Regions from separate parts of the Mus musculus genome. Here regions 2, 3, 4 and 5 are each reported to be linked to region 1. Evidence: microRNA targets listed by miRTarBase, many of them from high-throughput screens and not tested one by one. Region 1 holds a microRNA gene; each other region holds the end of a gene's coding sequence.
What was found. Region 1 holds the annotated microRNA mmu-miR-124-3p (UAAGGCACGCGGUGAAUGCC, at 1,629-1,648, opposite strand). A microRNA usually pairs through its seed, bases 2 to 8, with sites in the 3' UTR of a target mRNA and lowers its output. Matches are read on the target gene's strand: a 7mer-m8 pairs with bases 2 to 8, a 7mer-A1 pairs with bases 2 to 7 and ends in A, and an 8mer does both.

Region 1 (4,299 bases):
CAGCCAGAGACACCCTCAGGGTGTGGGCACTGCAGCTTTCTGCCTGCAAGAGTAAGCAGGCGGTGGCTTATTTCTGCAGAGCGGGAGAAGGTTCTGGGAATGCCTAGGTGGAATGTGGTAAATTGAAGCTCAGCCTGGCTAGCTCTAACATTCTCTTCTGTGAGGAAATTTAGAAGTTGAAATCATCGTAAAGAAGGACACATAGTAGATACTCAAGAAATAATGAATACTCTTGAGGAAACTAGGCCAGAGAGGTACTGATCTATGATATACCCTCAAATACTAATTTACTAGACTAGATGAGGCTGAGGCTTTTTGAGACAAGAGTCCTCCATTAACTTCAACGGATGCTCTTTTAGACCCTGATTACTGTGTTAGGAATCAGATTAAACTCCTAAACATCCTTCATGGGCTTGGCCTTGCAAAGGCAGGCCTCTGGCATGACAGCAGGGGGGAGGGCTACAGCCTGCTTCCTGGGGGTGGGTTGTGGGGGGGGGGAGGAGGCCAGCTCTTGGCCTCCTTTCCCTCCCTCTGCTGCTGGGTCCTGCCCCTCCTCCATTTACTCCACCTGAAAATTAATGAGTTTAGGTCGGCCACCAGGCCATCATCCATCCACTGCAGGTTGGCGGAACACTGAGATGGAGACGGGATGGAACTGTGTCGGGGGCCTCCAGGACCAGCTGCTGCTGTTGGGGGCTGATTTGGGAAGCAGGTGCTTCAGGATGAGGGAGGATTAACCCTTTCTGTTCCTGGACAGCCTGCTTCAAAACAGACTTTCCTTAGGCCTCCACCTTACTCATGCTGATTTTCCTTCTGTCTTGGGGTTTTAAGAGCGATGGGGAGAGGCCCACACTCTGGGGGCTGGGGGTGGGCTGCGCCTCCTTTTCCTGTAGCTTCTGGATTTCTGCCTGAAACTTCAGCCACAGCCCCAAGGAGGCTGGGAGGCCCTGCTTTAGAGCAGTGGGCTAGCTGTCAGTTTTGATGGAGTCTGTGCGCTGTCCATGAACAAATTTGCCGATCGCCTTCGCTCACTCCAGAGATCTGTTTAAGCTTGTCAAATGCCCACAGCTCTCCACCAACGGGTGACAAACAGCTTCCCCTAAAGACTACCCCAGCAACCCCAAGCACAATACAAGGTAGCTGCAGTCTAGGCTTTGGGGCAGTCTGCCAGTCGCATGGGTACTTGGTTATTATTATTTGTTTAAGGGTAATAAATTGAAATCCGGAACTAAGACAGGTAGGGATGAAGGTGTCGGCCTTCTACAATGGGCAGGGTCCCAGAGCTGAGGGGCACATTTTACTCTCCAGCCGTCCCCAGGCTATTTTCTGCCGCCGCCGCCGCCGCCGCCACCACCACCACCACCCCCCCGCTTGCATAGATCCGTGTTTCTGTCACAGAATGAGTTGTTTGCTTCCTAGATTCTATTTGCATCTGCACAAACCCCTCTCTGTCGGTAGCTGCACACCTCCCCACCCTAAGGGCTACTTTGCGAGGCACTCAGAAGCCTGCTACCCGTACTGTGGGCGCCTGCAGCTGCAGCGCTGAGATCTGCCCAGGGCGTTGTGCTGGGTCGATCCTTCCGTGGCAGGCCCTCGTGGACCCAAGGTGCTCAGACAGCCCCATTCTTGGCATTCACCGCGTGCCTTAATTGTATGGACATTTAAATCAAGGTCCGCTGTGAACACGGAGAGAGAGGCCTTTCTCCTGAGGAAGGAAGAAGGAAGGAAGGAAAGAAAGAAGGAAGGAAGGAAAGAAAGAAGGAAGGATGGAAAGGAAGGAAGGATGGAAGAGAGGGAGGATGGGAGAAAGGAAGGGAGGAAGAAAGGAAGGAAAGGTGGAAAGAAAGGGAGGGGATGGGGAGAAGATGAGATGAAAAAAATGAGAGATGAGAAAGAAAAAGCTGGCGACGCGTGCGTGTGCGTGCGCACTGACAGCAGGGAGGGTGTGGGGTTGGGGAACGCGATGAGCTAAGGACCACCGCATCCTTCCTACCGCAGCTCCCCCAGTCACAGACAATGAGATAACAGCCACGTCCTCCGTAGGCTCTTTGTTCTCCCGCATCCTTTCGTTTCCAAGCTTTTTCCTGCAAAGGGGAGGGGGGTGGAGGGTTCGGGATGTGGGTGGAAGTGGGAGACGGAGGGGTGCCTCCCCCGTGTTAATTACCCCGACTCCCTCACTCCTCTCCTCGCGCTTCGCCTCCCCTGCAGTTCCAGACAATGAAAAAACATCAACCCCACCTCGCCCCACCGCAGCGAATCCTACCCACCCAGTTCGCTCTCAGCTTCGCCTAGGAAACTGAGGGGGGCCAGGAGGAGGGAGATGACGGAGAGGAAAGGGATGGGAAGCAGGGGCCCAGCTACTGCTGCCTGGGCAGGGCTTGTGACCGCCGCCTTTACCTTGAGTGTAGGGTCCGGGTGTAGCCTGGCCGGGCGTGCCGCAGGGCAGAGCTGCTGCGGTCCCTTACCAGGATCTGTGGGAATCAGCCTTCCGGAACTCTCCTGCTGCGGTCCTCTCGCTTAGGTCCCAAGTGGTGGATGGGAAAAAGGAAAAGAAAAAAAAAATAAATAAATAAGAGCGAGGCCCATCTGGCCCCTCATCAGCCTTGTCAAGTCTTGCATACGCTAAAATGCTAATGACCTAGATAGCTCATGCAAAATGCAGCAGGGAGGGACAGAGAAGGAGGGGGAGCGAAGGGAGAGCGAGAGAGGGAGGAGTGAAGGGAGAGGGAGGGGGAGACAGAGGGAGGAGGGAGACTGGGAGGGGGGAGGGGGAAAAGAGAGAGAGAGAGAGCGCGCACCCCTACATGTTCCCCCACCCCACCCGTCAACCGGTTTTACAGAGGTAAAGGGTGGGTGTAGATTTTAAAAGGTCACCCCTATAGAATGTAGCTGGGTGGGGTGGGGGAGAGATCCCCAAATCCATAGGGACAATAAAATATTATTTTAAGACCCCTCCCTCTCTGCTCTCCATCACTCTGTTTACACACAAGTCCAGTCACCTTATGCATGTACATGTCAATTTCACAAGACTGCTTTCAACAGACACCCACGTTGCCATTCCCTGAACAAACCCACCCAGTGCACCAGAGTGAGGAAGGTGCTTCCTAACCCACAGACCTCCCTCACCTGGTCCATCCCACTCCCTACTAGTGCCTTATCCTTTCAGGCAGTCGTCCCCCCCCCCCCTTTCTCTTTTCTAAGCCTTCCCCATTCTCCTTCCCAATGGCTCAAAAAAGCCAGGTAGAGGGCATAGAGGACAAGTTAAATCTAACTGGATCGGTTCCGTTCAGCTTCCCACCCACCCCACAGGGTTGGGGGACACAGTCTTTACCTAACACTGACCCTTTTAAAGCATGCCACAAAAATCAATAAAATTGAGTCCGAATAACCTCAGAGGTCCGCAGGTCCGGCCGGGTACTGTTGGGCAGCGTTGATCTCTCCAATCGGGGAGCCAGAGTTCCGCGCGTCCCAAGACGCTTTGTCCCGGAACCCCCGCACAATATCCTCATCTTTTTGTTCTCCTTTAAAGGATCCTGGTTGCAGTCCGCCGCGTTTCAGCCAGTCCAAACCAAAGGCGGATCTATTGGAATAAAAAGGGATGGGGATAATATACACGCAGATGGATGCGGGAGAGTAGTGGAGGCTAAAGTCAGCCCCGCAAGCAAGGAGCGGCCTCCCTGGCCAAGCCCCAAGTGCTTCCTCGGCTATTGAAGGGAATTGCTGCTGGCAGGCGCTGATGCTGGCTCCACCTGGCCGGAGGAAAAGCATCCTGGCGATGACCCTGAAAGAATTAAGACACAAAACCAAAAAAAAAAAAAAAAAAAAAAAAAAAAAAACCCCAAACCGAACCAAACCACCAAAACAAAAAAGCAAAAAGCCAGAATCCTCCTCTGGTGAACCAGAGCACGCGTGCAGAAGAAACCGCTCTGCTGGTGGCCGCGGTCGAGGGGGAAGGATGCTAGCGCAGGAGGCGAAGGTTGCAGAGGCTGCACCCTCAGATGAATAATAATAACGCGCTGAGAAGTTGCAGTGCAGCTTGGAAATCCAGCCCTGCGCGTGAACTCGCGTCGAGTGCGGATTGCAGGGGATGGGGGAGAAAGGGGGGGGGGTGAGGAGAGAAGAGAGGGGGAGGGGGTGAGGGGATTGAGAGGAAGACAGAGAGAGGGACGCAGAGAATTTAGTGCCTTTTCTTTTAGTCTTACCAAGAGCTGATCTCCTTCACTGTCCTCGTTGGGTGAGGCCGAGGTCCTTTTTAAAAATTATTATTCCTTTAACGGATTATTCAGCTAAGAGAAGCCA
Region 2 (3,000 bases), not on the chromosome of region 1:
TACAAAGAGAATGTTCAGAAAGTGGTGAAGTAAAGAAAGCGGCTTTCTAGGCTAAGACTTGATCCTGAGTTGACCTTACTAAGTGTTGACCTTGAATGTCAGCTTGATTAGTTTTACTCTGCATTCGTGGCAATTGAGTAACATAAAGTAACTGGTTGGCTTATTACAAACACCAAATGCTGCAAGTTCTAAAACTACCTGAGGTGTATTCTAGCGGATGGACATTACACTGCAGTGAACCATCCGTGTTAGCAGTTAGGGGCAGTCACACCTCTACGGGGAAAGCCTTTTAGTGAGTATTGTGGCTCAGCACTGGGCTTCTCAATGCGGATACTAGAAACACCTAGTCCAACTTGCCCTATAGGGAGGACAATTTAAAGCTGGGAACAGTTTAACTTATGCAAAAAAACTTTAAAAGATGTTAGAGTTTTTTTTAAAAAAAGTCAAAACCACGGCAGGAAACGACTGCTCTTCCTAATACAGATATTTTAAAAAGAGAAATCTGATGAGGAAGTTCTTAAATGTCATTTCCTTTTTCAAAAAACGGAGAGGGGGTTGGGGAGTTCATATTTTTGTGGTGACATATAACATAAAAAAATTAAGAAAGGCATATAGAAAATAAGTCTTCAAATAGTTGAGTAATCTTCTTCAGGCAATTTCTAAATAAATATAGACACAGCTACTGCTTGCTTTAAAGAAACAACAAACAAGCCCACATTTATTACTCCACTGGGAAACAACTACAGTATAAGACCATGCAGTGCTCCTTAGGCAGAAGTTGCTACAAGCAGCTCAGGGCTGCTGGAGGCACAGCTAAGGGACACACATTTCCTGGATCCAACAGAAGAGACCTGTGATGAGCTTGTGATAATGGTAGGGGACAAGGTCTTCCCCTCACCTTTATAGGGGAAGGATGGAAGCAGGGGAAAATGAAGAGGTCAAAGTGGCCCTGGCTGGCTACAGCTGAGAAACAGACTCCTTGGTGGAGGCTCTGAGCGTTCTCTGGGAACAGGGCAGGTCAGAGCACTGCTCGGGTCTCTGATTCAGCTGAAGGCACGGATGCCTTTCTTACCACCAGAACACATAGCTGATCTTGTGTAAACAGCAGGAGAGGATCCCCTCTGCTTCCTTACAAAGGCTCTAACTAGTCGTAGGGCTCCCTGAGAACTAGACTCCAAAGTACTGTATATGTACAGGACATTAACAAATACACAGCAGCACGACAGTCACCTCTCCACATTAGGGTCACAGATCAGAACCTCTACTGAGCTGGACAAAGCCACCACTCAAGCTGAGTGTCCACACAACCGTGATAGCCAACCTTGGTTTAGGCATCTCTCAGGTACCTACAATTTCCCAAGTTCCAATAAATTCTGTTTTGAGGAAATCAATTTATTTATTTATTTGTTTGTTTAATTTTATGTGCACTGGTGTTTTGCCTGCATGAGTGTCTGTATGAGGGTGTCAGATGCCCTGGAACTGGAGTTACAGACTGGGGATCCTCTGGAAGAGCAGCCAAGGCTCTTAACCACTGAGCCAATTCTCCAACCCCTTGAGAAAAATCAATTTTATTTCAATTAACCTTATAAGCTAAATCAAAAGCTAGTTAAGAGGGGCTGAAGTTTCCTGGCTGTAAGAGTTGCTGTCATCATCCACGAGATGCCATTTAATGGCTAGTGAGCTAAATCACTCGTTTGGGCTGGTGATTTTGTGTTTGCAAGCAACAGAAGATATGCAACCGGCTGTGGAAACCAAGCTGCACGGGACAGACAAGAAAGGTTCCATGGCAGTAACACTCAGCAGTTGGCAAGCACATGACCGCGGTCTTACAGACTGGGAAGAGGCCGCCTGGAGCATATTTCAAAACAGGAAAGTAGTGGGGGATGCTTGGTGTTCAGTGGACAATACATTCACACTAAGTAAGGGTTAAACCAGTCCCTGGATCCTTAGTGAACTATAGAGGAGGGAGTACTTGAGAACTTAAGCCTTCCAGGGATCATGGTTCAAAGCCTCTGAAATTCACAGGAGTCAACTAAATGAGAACTCAACACCAGAGCGGTAACTTCTCTACTGGCACCAGCACAGGCAGTGGTGATTTTCATGTTTAATATAGTAATCAGTGTCCTAAAAACCCCTCAAGTTTTTAAGGCACCGGTCTTATTAAACGATTGAGCTGCAGCACGCTAAGTCTGGCCTTTTTTACAGTAAAGTACACGGACAAAATAGCCCATGGAAGCACAGTGAAGGGGTACCCTGACAGACAGATGAGCCACAGGCCCTTCAAATGTTGACGTTTTGAAGATACAGGGGACATGTAGGTTCCCATGGGAACTGCCTCAGGTATTTGTTAACAGTAAGAAGTGGCTCGTGACCTCACTGATGACATCTGCTGCTAGGCCTTACACCTCTCCCACTGCTTGTTTGAACATTGTTTACTGGGGCCAGGCATGGAAGGCACGGTTTTCCCATATGGTTCCTAGTTTTTGAACACAAGTACATGGACGCTACACCCCCGCATCAGTACTTCGTGGCTGGAAACCCTCCTTCCGAAGGCCACCCATGTCAAAGCGGGTAGAGACTTCACAGCGCACTAGTAATGTATCATCCTTAATGAAGGTTCCCTGTCTTAAGGCTTCCAGGTGCATAAATGTTACATAGCCAAAACCTTTGGGGTTCCGTGGGATTGTGGGTCGCTGAAAGGCAAGCAGTTCTGGTTTGGCGTCCATGACCTCTTCGTGGTTTTGCCTTATAAGTGCTTCAGACTGGTCGAGAATTGTAAGGCGTATTGTACCCTGGAAGGGCCAGGGGAGGTGGCTGTCATATTCTCCTTGCATTGTGTGGACAAAAAGGGATATATAGTTTGCACAGCGCTGAGCTGTCGGTAACTGAAGATGCAGGCGCATGCACAGCTTGTACCCAGGTCTGCCTGTGTAGAATCCAGGGCTATGGATGACAACAGGTCTTTCCTCTTCTTGGGATTTCAAGTGCATCCCAAAGTTG
Region 3 (3,000 bases), not on the chromosome of region 1:
CCTTCGAGGATTTTCTGGGCTGAACTGTAACCTACGTGTTTTAGTATGACGACTCTCGTTGCTCTTACCCTCTGTCCAGCCTGGCCTTGGGACTTTGCCTTCTGTGCTGGTGTGTGTGTGTGTGTGTGTGTGTGTGTGTGTACCTTGAAGGGGTTAACTACTCCTTGGTTAGTTTTTCATGTTTGGGGTGTTGCTTGCCTCTGATGCATACTGATAAGTACGGTGCTCTTCCTTTTAGAACCTGAAGGCAGCCGACAGCGACCCCACGGCACCCCCTTACGACTCTCTGTTGGTGTTCGATTACGAGGGCAGTGGTTCTGAAGCCGCTAGCCTGAGCTCACTGAACTCCTCTGAGTCGGATCAGGACCAGGACTACGATTATCTGAACGAGTGGGGCAACCGATTCAAGAAGCTGGCGGACATGTACGGCGGTGGTGAGGACGACTAGGGGACTAGCAAGTCTCCCCCGTGTGGCACCATGGGAGATGCAGAATAATTATATCAGTGGTCTTTCAGCTCCTTCCCTGAGTGTGTAGAAGAGAGACTGATCTGAGAAGTGTGCAGATTGCATAGTGGTCTCACTCTCCCTACTGGACTGTCTGTGTTAGGATGGTTTTCACTGATTGTTGAAATCTTTTTTTATTTTTTATTTTTACAGTGCTGAGATATAAACTGTGCCTTTTTTTGTTTGTTTGTTTCTGTTTTTGTTCTTTTGAGCTATGATCTGCCCCAGACACAACAGCCCCAAGCCCCTCACACCTCACTAATTTTTTACATTGTGTACTTGCCCTCAATTACCATGTTTGCTGTATTCTAATAGTCACTCATGTTCCTGAATTCTGTTGCCCTGCCCAGGTGATATTCTAGGATGCAGAAATGCCTGGGCCCTTTTATGGTGAGAGACAGGTATCTTGGTGTGGGTGCAACTGCGCTGGATAGTGTGTGTGTTCCCAAGATCTTTCGTGGTATTCCCTCTCCACCTCCAGAGAACTCATTTACAGTGGCATTCCTTGTTCGGCTATGTGTCTGGGGCAGAACAAAAAAAAGGGACCACTATGCATGCTGCACACGTCTCAGATTCTTAGGTACACACCTGATTCTTAGGTGCATGCCATAGTGGGATATGTTGCTTTGATCAGAACCTGCAGGGAGGTTTTCGGGCACCACTTAAGTTTCTTGGCGTTTCTTTCAAACCAAAACTAAAGAATGGTTGTTCTCTGAGAGAGACTGGAGTGCCACCACCAAAGACAGAGGAGAGAAAAGGAGAGAAACCAAACTTGGGGACAGCAACATCAGCGAACCCGGCTAGTTGGCACACCGATGGTGAGGGTACACAGGCGGTGAGACCTATCCCACAAGATTTCTGGAAGACTAGGCTTATCTCAACCAATGTTTTCTGGCTGGAATCTTTGTCCATGTATTCCTGAAGCCCAGGAAATGCACCCCTCCAATGCCTGCTCTTGATGGTAGCTACAGAAAATGCTGGCCGATTTAAACCCAAGTTGCCCAGTTCTGAGTAGAAAACTGAGACTATGCTGTGTGTGGCGGCGCGCACCTTTAAGCCCAGCACTCAGGAGGCAGAGGCAGTCAGATCTCCCTGAGTTCGAGGCCAACCTGGTATATATAGTATAGTAAGCGAATTCTAGGACAGCCAGGGCTACACAGAGAAACCCTGTCTCTGCAAACCAAAAGAGAAAACTGAGAATATTACAAATTGTGCATTTTCTCAGGAAGCAGGAAGAGAACATTCTAACGGGAAAAAGGAGACAAGACCTTTGAGAGTTTTCATTCAAAATGCAAATCTCAGCTTTTTGATAACCACTGGAAAGAATTTTATTGAAAGTTCTGTACTTACCTAACTTTGGAAGAAAATGATGACCACAATCAACTGTGAGAACTGTTGATTTCTCTGTAGTTTAATCATGTAATGTTGCTAGAGTGACCTTTGTATGTAGTTTGAGTGTATGTGTGTGGGTGCTGATAATTTTGTATTTTGTGGGGGGTGGAAAAGGTAAGCCATTGAAACCGTTCTCTAAGATGCATTTTTATGAATTTTATTAAAGAGTTTTGTTAAACTGTTGTGAGGCTCACTTGATTTGACTCTGCCAGGATTCCTAGACCAAAGGACAGAGGTGAACTCAGATCATGGGAGCTTCCAGCTGATGTGTCTTCTCCATGCTTTGGGGGTCCTGCATGGGGAGGAAATGCTTCCACGGGGTCACTGCTCAGAGCCCCATCCATGTGATGTGTGGTGGGAGCAATAAGTACCAAGGCCACTGGGGCATGGGGGACCTGCGAGCTTCAAGGCTGTCGGCAGACATTTTCCAACAGTAATGGAGGCAGCGATTCTGTGCAGAGGAAGACTGGCCTCCCCCGAGCGACGTTTGTCAGTGCCTTTCCGCTGCCCCCTCCCTGCTCCGTGATAGTACAGATTGAACCTAGGACCTTTCGTGTGCTAGGTGAGTGTTCTGCCTTTGAGAAACACCCCCAGCTTCTTTGTGCTTTGTACTCTTTCATAAATTATAACGATAGCGTGTGTGTACACATGAGTGCTAGTGACCATGGAGATCAGTTGTCAGATCCTCTTCAGCTAGTTATAGGAGGGTGGTTATGTGCCACCCTGCGTGTGCTAGGAACTGAAGTTTGAGTCCCGTAAGGGCAGTGTGCACTCAACCAGAGAACCTTCCTCTCTGCCCCCCCCCCCTTTTAATGCATATGCATTTTGTGGCATTGGAAACTGATCCTGGGATTATATGACTGAGTCAGTTGACCCAGATGACATTTGACAGTTTCCATTTGACAGTTTCCAATCGACAGTAGCCAGCAGATGCTGCTGTCAGCTCGCAGGGTAGTCCTCATAATAAGAAATATCAATTTACTCCTGTGGAAAAACCATGGTGATAGGAGTATAACTTTCTTCTTACATGAGCAGTTTTCTTTTCTGACTGGTGCATGCCATGTGTGTGTAGAGAGAAGGCCGGAAGTAGGCATCAGATCCCC
Region 4 (3,000 bases), not on the chromosome of region 1:
AGTTAATACTCCCACAGCTAAACACCGGCTTTATAGGGGATCCCCTATCTAAGCAGTCTCCCCAACTCTAAAGCTCACTGTCTCTGCTTCCGTTCTCTTCCAGGCCACAGAACCATCTGGACGCTGCTCTGGTCTTATCAGCTCTCTCCTCGTCTTAACTTTTCAACCATTTTTAAATCGTTGTACTAATTGTAAAAAACAAAACAAAACAAAATCGCTCTGTATAGTGACGAGTTGCAAGCATGTCTGTGTATGATTACCTTAAAAGAAACACTAAACAACAACAACAACAACAACAACAACAGGAAAGGACAAAAGAAAGAAAGAAAGCCAGTCCCCCCACCTTGGCCCTCCCCCAAGTCACCCCACATTTAGATTGTGAGGTTCCTTCGTTGTGTTGATTTCGGGGGGGGGGGGAGTGGGGTTACGGAGAGAACAAGCCTGTCTGACTCTTTTTGTATATACGGGAAAATGTACATACGTGTGAACCAAATTGTACAAGAAAGTATCTATTTTTTGGCTAAATAAATGAGCTGTTGCCACTTTTGACTATAACCGGCAGGTCTGCCACATGGACCGGTTTGCTGCATGGTTCTTTGGTGTTTTTGGTGTTTCTTCCCCCCCACCCCCGGCCGTTGTTTAAAGAATCTACAGGAAAAGATGAGCTGGGTCTGAGGACAGCAATGGCAGAAGTCGTTCGGGCTTAGGTAGCCAGGCTTAGAAGCCTCTCCAAGAAGGGGTGATGAGAGTCGCTGGGCGACCGAGAAAAAAGGGCAAAGACCAAGGAGAAAATGATGTTGGTTCCTTACTAGGAGCTGGAAAACTAGGCTCTGCCCACGGGTCCACAGGAGTAACCATGGAGCCTTGGGGCCTCCTCTGATGACTTAGCAGAAAGACTTAGGGAAGCTTCCAGGAGTTCAGGGCGTGGGCTGGGAGACTCGCCCTCCCTGCTCCCTTCTGACTGCGCTCAACTGAAGTTTCTCAGCCTGGAGTATAGGGGCTGTCTTTAAACGCTCAATGCCTAGGCCTTTCTCGCCGTGGTTCCCTCTCCAACGGCTCCTTATAGGTGCAAAGGGCGTGGGGGATCTGCGTGAGAAGCCGGGGTGTTCACGTTTCCCGCTTGGTGGCGTGTGACCGCGCTGGTGTTGGAAATCCAAGGCCGAAGCCAGGCGGCGTTTGGTCCCTAGGTGCTTATGAGTACTTTTAGAAATCACGCGTGGGTTCGGGGTACAGCCCGGGAACCTTTGGAGCTGGGATCGTGTCAGAAGTCGGGTGAGCCGGGGGACCGTTAAGAGAGGGGCGAAGGTGGCGGGTGGGTGGGGGGTGGACGCCACAGTGGGGAAACCTGGGGCTTGAGCTCCCTCTACAGGACGAAGGGGACGGTCGGCGCCAGACCTTCCCGGCCTCTGCAGCCCTCCTGGTCCCTTGCCTGCCTGGACACTGCCTGCCTGGCTTGCCCAACTTTGATTCTAAGAAGTGGAGAATCACATTCAGAGTAGTGACGCCTTGGATGGGGTTCGAAGTGGGGGCGCCTTTGAGGCCCTCCTGTCTGGCCCTTTGGAATTTCCGGGATAGCCATGCACTGTGCATCTGAGCTGCAGAGCAGGGCTCTCGTGAGCAAGGTCTTGCACACTGTTGGAAGGTAGAAAGAGCTAGTGCTTACAACCTGGATCAGCTTCCAGTCTGGATCCAGCACAGTCAACATTGTGGATCTGTATGCGAGGGCCGCCGCAGTGTACGGGTCCACGAGATGAGGACACAGCTGCCAGAGCCACGGGCGACCTGGGACTCTGTTGTATGAAGACCGGTGCCCACATAACGAAAGTCCTCAGAATGGAGACCACTAGCAAAGAAAAGGACAGTGACAGCGGGGGGTTGGGGGGACGGGGACGGACTGATATTCAAGCAAACACTTCCTTTCTCTGTTTGCAAAGGTGTTTCAGGGGTTCAAGGTCTTTCACAGTTGAAGCATTGACGCTCCATCTTCTTAGGTCATACATGTGAAGTCAGTACCACAGAACAAGGGTCAAGGCTCTGGTTAGTGCCATGAGTATCTGTACAAGGGCATCTTAGTTCCTACCTCCTGGGCTTAGCCCTGACCCACACTGACTATCCATTTACTTCCCAGGAAGCCAAGGGCAGAGAATTCACTTCCTCGGGTTCTTTTTCACCAGCCGCCTGCTTCACAAGGTGAGGATGAGAGAGGGGGGTCTGCCCGTGCTCATTCTTAAGTAGGGGTGTCCAGCCATTTGCAGAGGCTTAAACTAAATATCCTCAGTTCCCAGGGGTACCTGCCGCTCCCCTTCCCATTGTCCAGAAATGTGAGACCTTTCCTTTAGGTGGCTCAAGAGACCCTGAAACCAGCTTTACCAAGGAAAACAGGAAACTACCCAGGGGAAAAATGATGTTGGTAGGCACAGTCTTCTGGGAGGAGGTCCCCAGAGAGAGGGACTTCATCAGTGGGAGAGAGATGGGTGGACATAGGGTCTCTCTCCAGTGAAGCTTCCGGAACTGCCCAGACTGTCTATCTTGAAAGTACAGCAATAGGAGGAGGCATGGGGGAGCCAGCCCCACCCTGGGCATATCTCATACAGTGTGTGCTTCAGACACCACCGTTCCCAAGTTGACCTCAGTATACCAACTCAACCAAAGCAAAACAGAATCTCCCAGGTTCCCAGCAAAAGAGGAAAGGGTCCCAAGAAGTCCCTCCATTCCTTAATATTGATTCCTAAAATGGAGAAGGAAAGTTAGAAGACGTGGTGGGGGGGGGGTGAGAAGTAGTGTACGTCTTGTCCCTGCTGCTGCTCCAATCAGAGGTGAAATATGTCAGCTCGACACTAGGAAGTGCCTTTGCTGTCCGGCTGGTTACTCAGAGCCATCCAAAGTATGTGTGGGATCCACTAGGTTGGAGACACTGCTTTCCCCAATATCTTCACAGAACTGGGAAGGGACAGTGCCTGCCAAGGCCAGAGAGCCCAAGGAGAATAAAATTACCTTCCA
Region 5 (3,000 bases), not on the chromosome of region 1:
TCAGGCCTGTGCATCACCACTCAGGATCAGAGCCTCAGAGCTGTACTGTTGCCATGGTTTCTCTTTCCTCCTGCAGACTTGACTTGCTAGTGTGCTTGCTTTCTAGCATCTTCCTAGATTTGATTCTTTAGACAGGGTCTCATGCAGCCCCAAGTAGGCTTAGACTCTTGATCCTCTTGCCTCGGCTTCTCATGTTCTGAGGCGAGGGCGTTTGTCACCACATAGCTCAGTGTCCCCTTCTTAGTGCACTTCAGCGGCTTAACTTTTATTATGAAAACACCCACAAGCTAAAATGGATATTTAAAATCTTTATTGTTTTGTCATCAAAAGTTTTCTCTCTCTCCACGGTAGGACGACAATGTGTTGGCGCATACTCATGAAAATACTCTTAAGTAGCTAGCCTAGAAACCAGAGATGGGATTGGCAAGCCAGTGTCATGTCAGACACGCAATGCTGCTGCTAAGATTAGTTAGTACCCAGAAAGAATATGCAGCTGTTAGAAAGGAGTCTATGGCCAAGCGCTCAGCACTTCGCTTGTGAAGGAGCAGAGGGCAGGGAGGACCAGAGACAAAACCTCCTGCTCCATTCTTGATCCCAGAGAGGGTTCTGACCATGCGCACACCGCCGGCGAGTCTCTGTCATCATTACTCAACAAGCCACTGCTGGTCTAACCCACAAATGGCATGGCCGCATTTGGACATTTCATAACGCTTCCCACCTCACCACCATAGTAATAAAACATGGGTCAGGGCAAACAGAAACAAAATAAAAACCGCGGCTGTAGACATCTTTAGTAAAAGCTGAACAAACTTGGTGCATGTTCCAGGTTTTTTTTTTGTTTTGTTTTGTTTTTTTGAGAAATAAACTGTAGGAAAAAAAACAACAACAAAAGACAGTTGTCATGGTTACTCATTTTTTCAGCTAAAGGCAGAACACTTCTTTTTATATAAGCACACTGGAGAGACATACAAGTGTCCTCACAAAAAATACTGCTGGATCAATGAGAACATTTTCAAAATCAGCTCTTGGGTAAGGAAAGGACTGAGAACTGAAGATGCCAATGACCGCTACGATTTGGTCATGCCTGGTCACTGAGAAGATTTTGGTCAGGGCTGTGTTTGAAGAGGTGACACAGCTGGATTTGGCTACTCTGTATGAATTCATACAATAAATACCTTACTCACGACAGCGGATCCATCACGATGAAACCAAACCGCGACAACTGAGAGGTTTACAGCAAACCTGCCTTAAGTGCTTTTCAAGTACATACGCTGTAAGGTTGGGAGACTACTCTTACGGTGGTCTAAGTCCTACAACTGCACGTTCCTGGATTACCTGCAAGACTAACAAGTCACTTGTGAATCATGTCAAGGCCTTGTGGGGGAGGGGCACTCTGCATGTATGGCATAGCAATTGGTTTCCTAGTAGTCAAACATTTCTAAACGTTATTAAACTATATTTGAAAAGTTCTTTTACTTAATATATACAATGTACAAATAAGTTAAAAGGAGGAAGCAGAGGGAAGCTTTTGAATATCTACACTGCAAACACACAACTGTCCCATGCATGTCCCTTTCACCCTCCAAACCATGAGAGGTGACAGAGCTCAGACCTGTCACTAAGGATGGAAACGGCACGCAGACAGTGGGAAGCCAATGTTGCTTTTTCCCACACAGCTACTCGCTTGCTTTGACCATAACACACACGGATAGAAACTGGATCCCGGAACTTGTTTTTACACTTGTACCTTAAAGTCTAACATAAATTCTTCTAACAGTTGAGGAGAAAAGCACTCTTTTATAGCAATTCCACAAAATAGTTTTCAATTCACAAAACACCTGTCCACTAGTAAAACCAGCAACCCTTCTGGAGGGCATGGGCAGTATCAGTCGGCCCCCCTGAGGTATAAATGCAGCTATCTTTCACTGAGTAAATAGTAGATAAGGTATGTCAACGCTCTGAAGGTTTGCATTCACCTGGAGTGATGTCATCCTGACTGAATGAAAACTTACTCATGTATACTTTTTTTTTTAATAATGGAGATTAACTGATTTTTAGAGAAAATATATACTTTAGCCCATAATACAGCCAGAAGTTCTGAATTCCTAAACCAATGCAAATGGCTATTACATCTTAAAAATGGGTAACATTGCATACTGATTTTAAAACAACTGAACAGGGAAAACATGTAAGGATTTTAGATTCAGCAGGACACCATGGAAAGCAGTCTAGAGAAGTGGGAAACCAGCCAAGCTTTTCCAAATGAGAAAATCCTTTTAATCTTCAGCAAGTCCCCATGGAAACAGGAGGCGAACAACAGTGAGAAGGAAGCAACTAGGACACCCCAGAGGCTCGCCAACAGCTCAGCATCACGGCCCCTTCTCCTGTGCACGGGTGGCCGGCAGACGACAGAAGTCCAACGTGACTACAGTTCAGCAGCTCCTCACCACTGCTGCCAGCTGAAGTCGTCGTTGCTTCCAAAGACCAGGAAGAAGCCTAGAATAGTCGCGAAGATGACTGTGTTTCCCGTGAGAACAAGTGCGCAAGCTCCCCACTCGATCTACGGCAGGAAGAGAGACACATTCAGCAGACACGCGACGTGAAGGCAACGAGGAACAGCAAATCCATCTCTGTGCATCAGTCAATCACCATCCTAAGCAATGTGGCTTGGGTGACCTTCACAGCACAACACTCCACACCCTGTATGTGTTTTTATTTACTATTGATTGATCGTAGGAGGTGATAAATCACTCAGGAACAAGCTCGCCTTCGAGAACGGCCACTGTAGCTTGCTTCGGCTCTCTCTGCAGTCCCACCCCAGGGTCCTGTGTGTTTAGGATGCACCCTGCCCCGTGTCGCCAGCACCGCATGGGATTGTGTAATTACTACTTACAAAGGAAGTTTTGCTTAGGGAGTCTAAAATCTTGTTTGGAGCAGAAGTTGAACTCTAAGTACCAGTGAGGGAGACATACTTGTACTTTCTCTGACGGGGGCAGAGGA

Region 2: the mRNA of Traf6 is a reported target of mmu-miR-124-3p. Seed matches in the 3' UTR shown: 7mer-m8 at 2,452-2,458, 8mer at 2,145-2,152 and 7mer-m8 at 1,051-1,057.
Region 3: the mRNA of Cdh1 is a reported target of mmu-miR-124-3p. Seed matches in the 3' UTR shown: 7mer-m8 at 675-681.
Region 4: miRTarBase lists Irx3 as a target of mmu-miR-124-3p. The part of its 3' UTR that is shown has no 7-base or 8-base seed match.
Region 5: the mRNA of Leprotl1 is a reported target of mmu-miR-124-3p. The part of its 3' UTR that is shown has no 7-base or 8-base seed match.

What each region holds. Positions count from the first base shown.
Region 1 is chr14:64,588,058-64,592,356 of GRCm38, reverse strand. Mir124a-1 (microRNA 124a-1) reads right to left here and starts at 1,700; the gene lies at 1,616-1,700. Mir124a-1hg (Mir124-1 host gene (non-protein coding)) reads right to left here and starts at 4,242. Exons shown (of 4, transcript NR_040709.1): 1 at 4,203-4,242; 2 at 3,390-3,580; 3 at 2,398-2,516; 4 at 1-2,084. It overlaps Mir3078 (microRNA 3078), which reads right to left and starts at 1,172; the gene lies at 1,086-1,172.
Region 2 is chr2:101,697,004-101,700,003 of GRCm38, reverse strand. It overlaps Traf6 (TNF receptor-associated factor 6), which reads right to left. Exons shown (of 7, transcript NM_001303273.1): 7 at 1-3,000. The coding sequence ends at 2,505. Among named protein-coding and RNA genes, the nearest start is that of Traf6, 20 kb to the right of the region's middle.
Region 3 is chr8:106,668,168-106,671,167 of GRCm38, forward strand. It overlaps Cdh1 (cadherin 1), which reads left to right. Exons shown (of 16, transcript NM_009864.3): 16 at 239-2,080. The coding sequence ends at 448. Among named protein-coding and RNA genes, the nearest start is that of Tango6, 13 kb to the right of the region's middle.
Region 4 is chr8:91,796,080-91,799,079 of GRCm38, reverse strand. It overlaps Irx3 (Iroquois related homeobox 3), which reads left to right. Exons shown (of 4, transcript NM_008393.3): 4 at 104-569. The coding sequence ends at 158. It overlaps Gm39222 (a long non-coding RNA gene), which reads left to right and starts at 1,337. Exons shown (of 3, transcript XR_879088.2): 1 at 1,337-2,037; 2 at 2,129-2,190.
Region 5 is chr8:34,135,279-34,138,278 of GRCm38, forward strand. It overlaps Leprotl1 (leptin receptor overlapping transcript-like 1), which reads right to left. Exons shown (of 4, transcript NM_026609.2): 4 at 294-2,560. The coding sequence ends at 2,444. Among named protein-coding and RNA genes, the nearest start is that of Leprotl1, 10 kb to the right of the region's middle.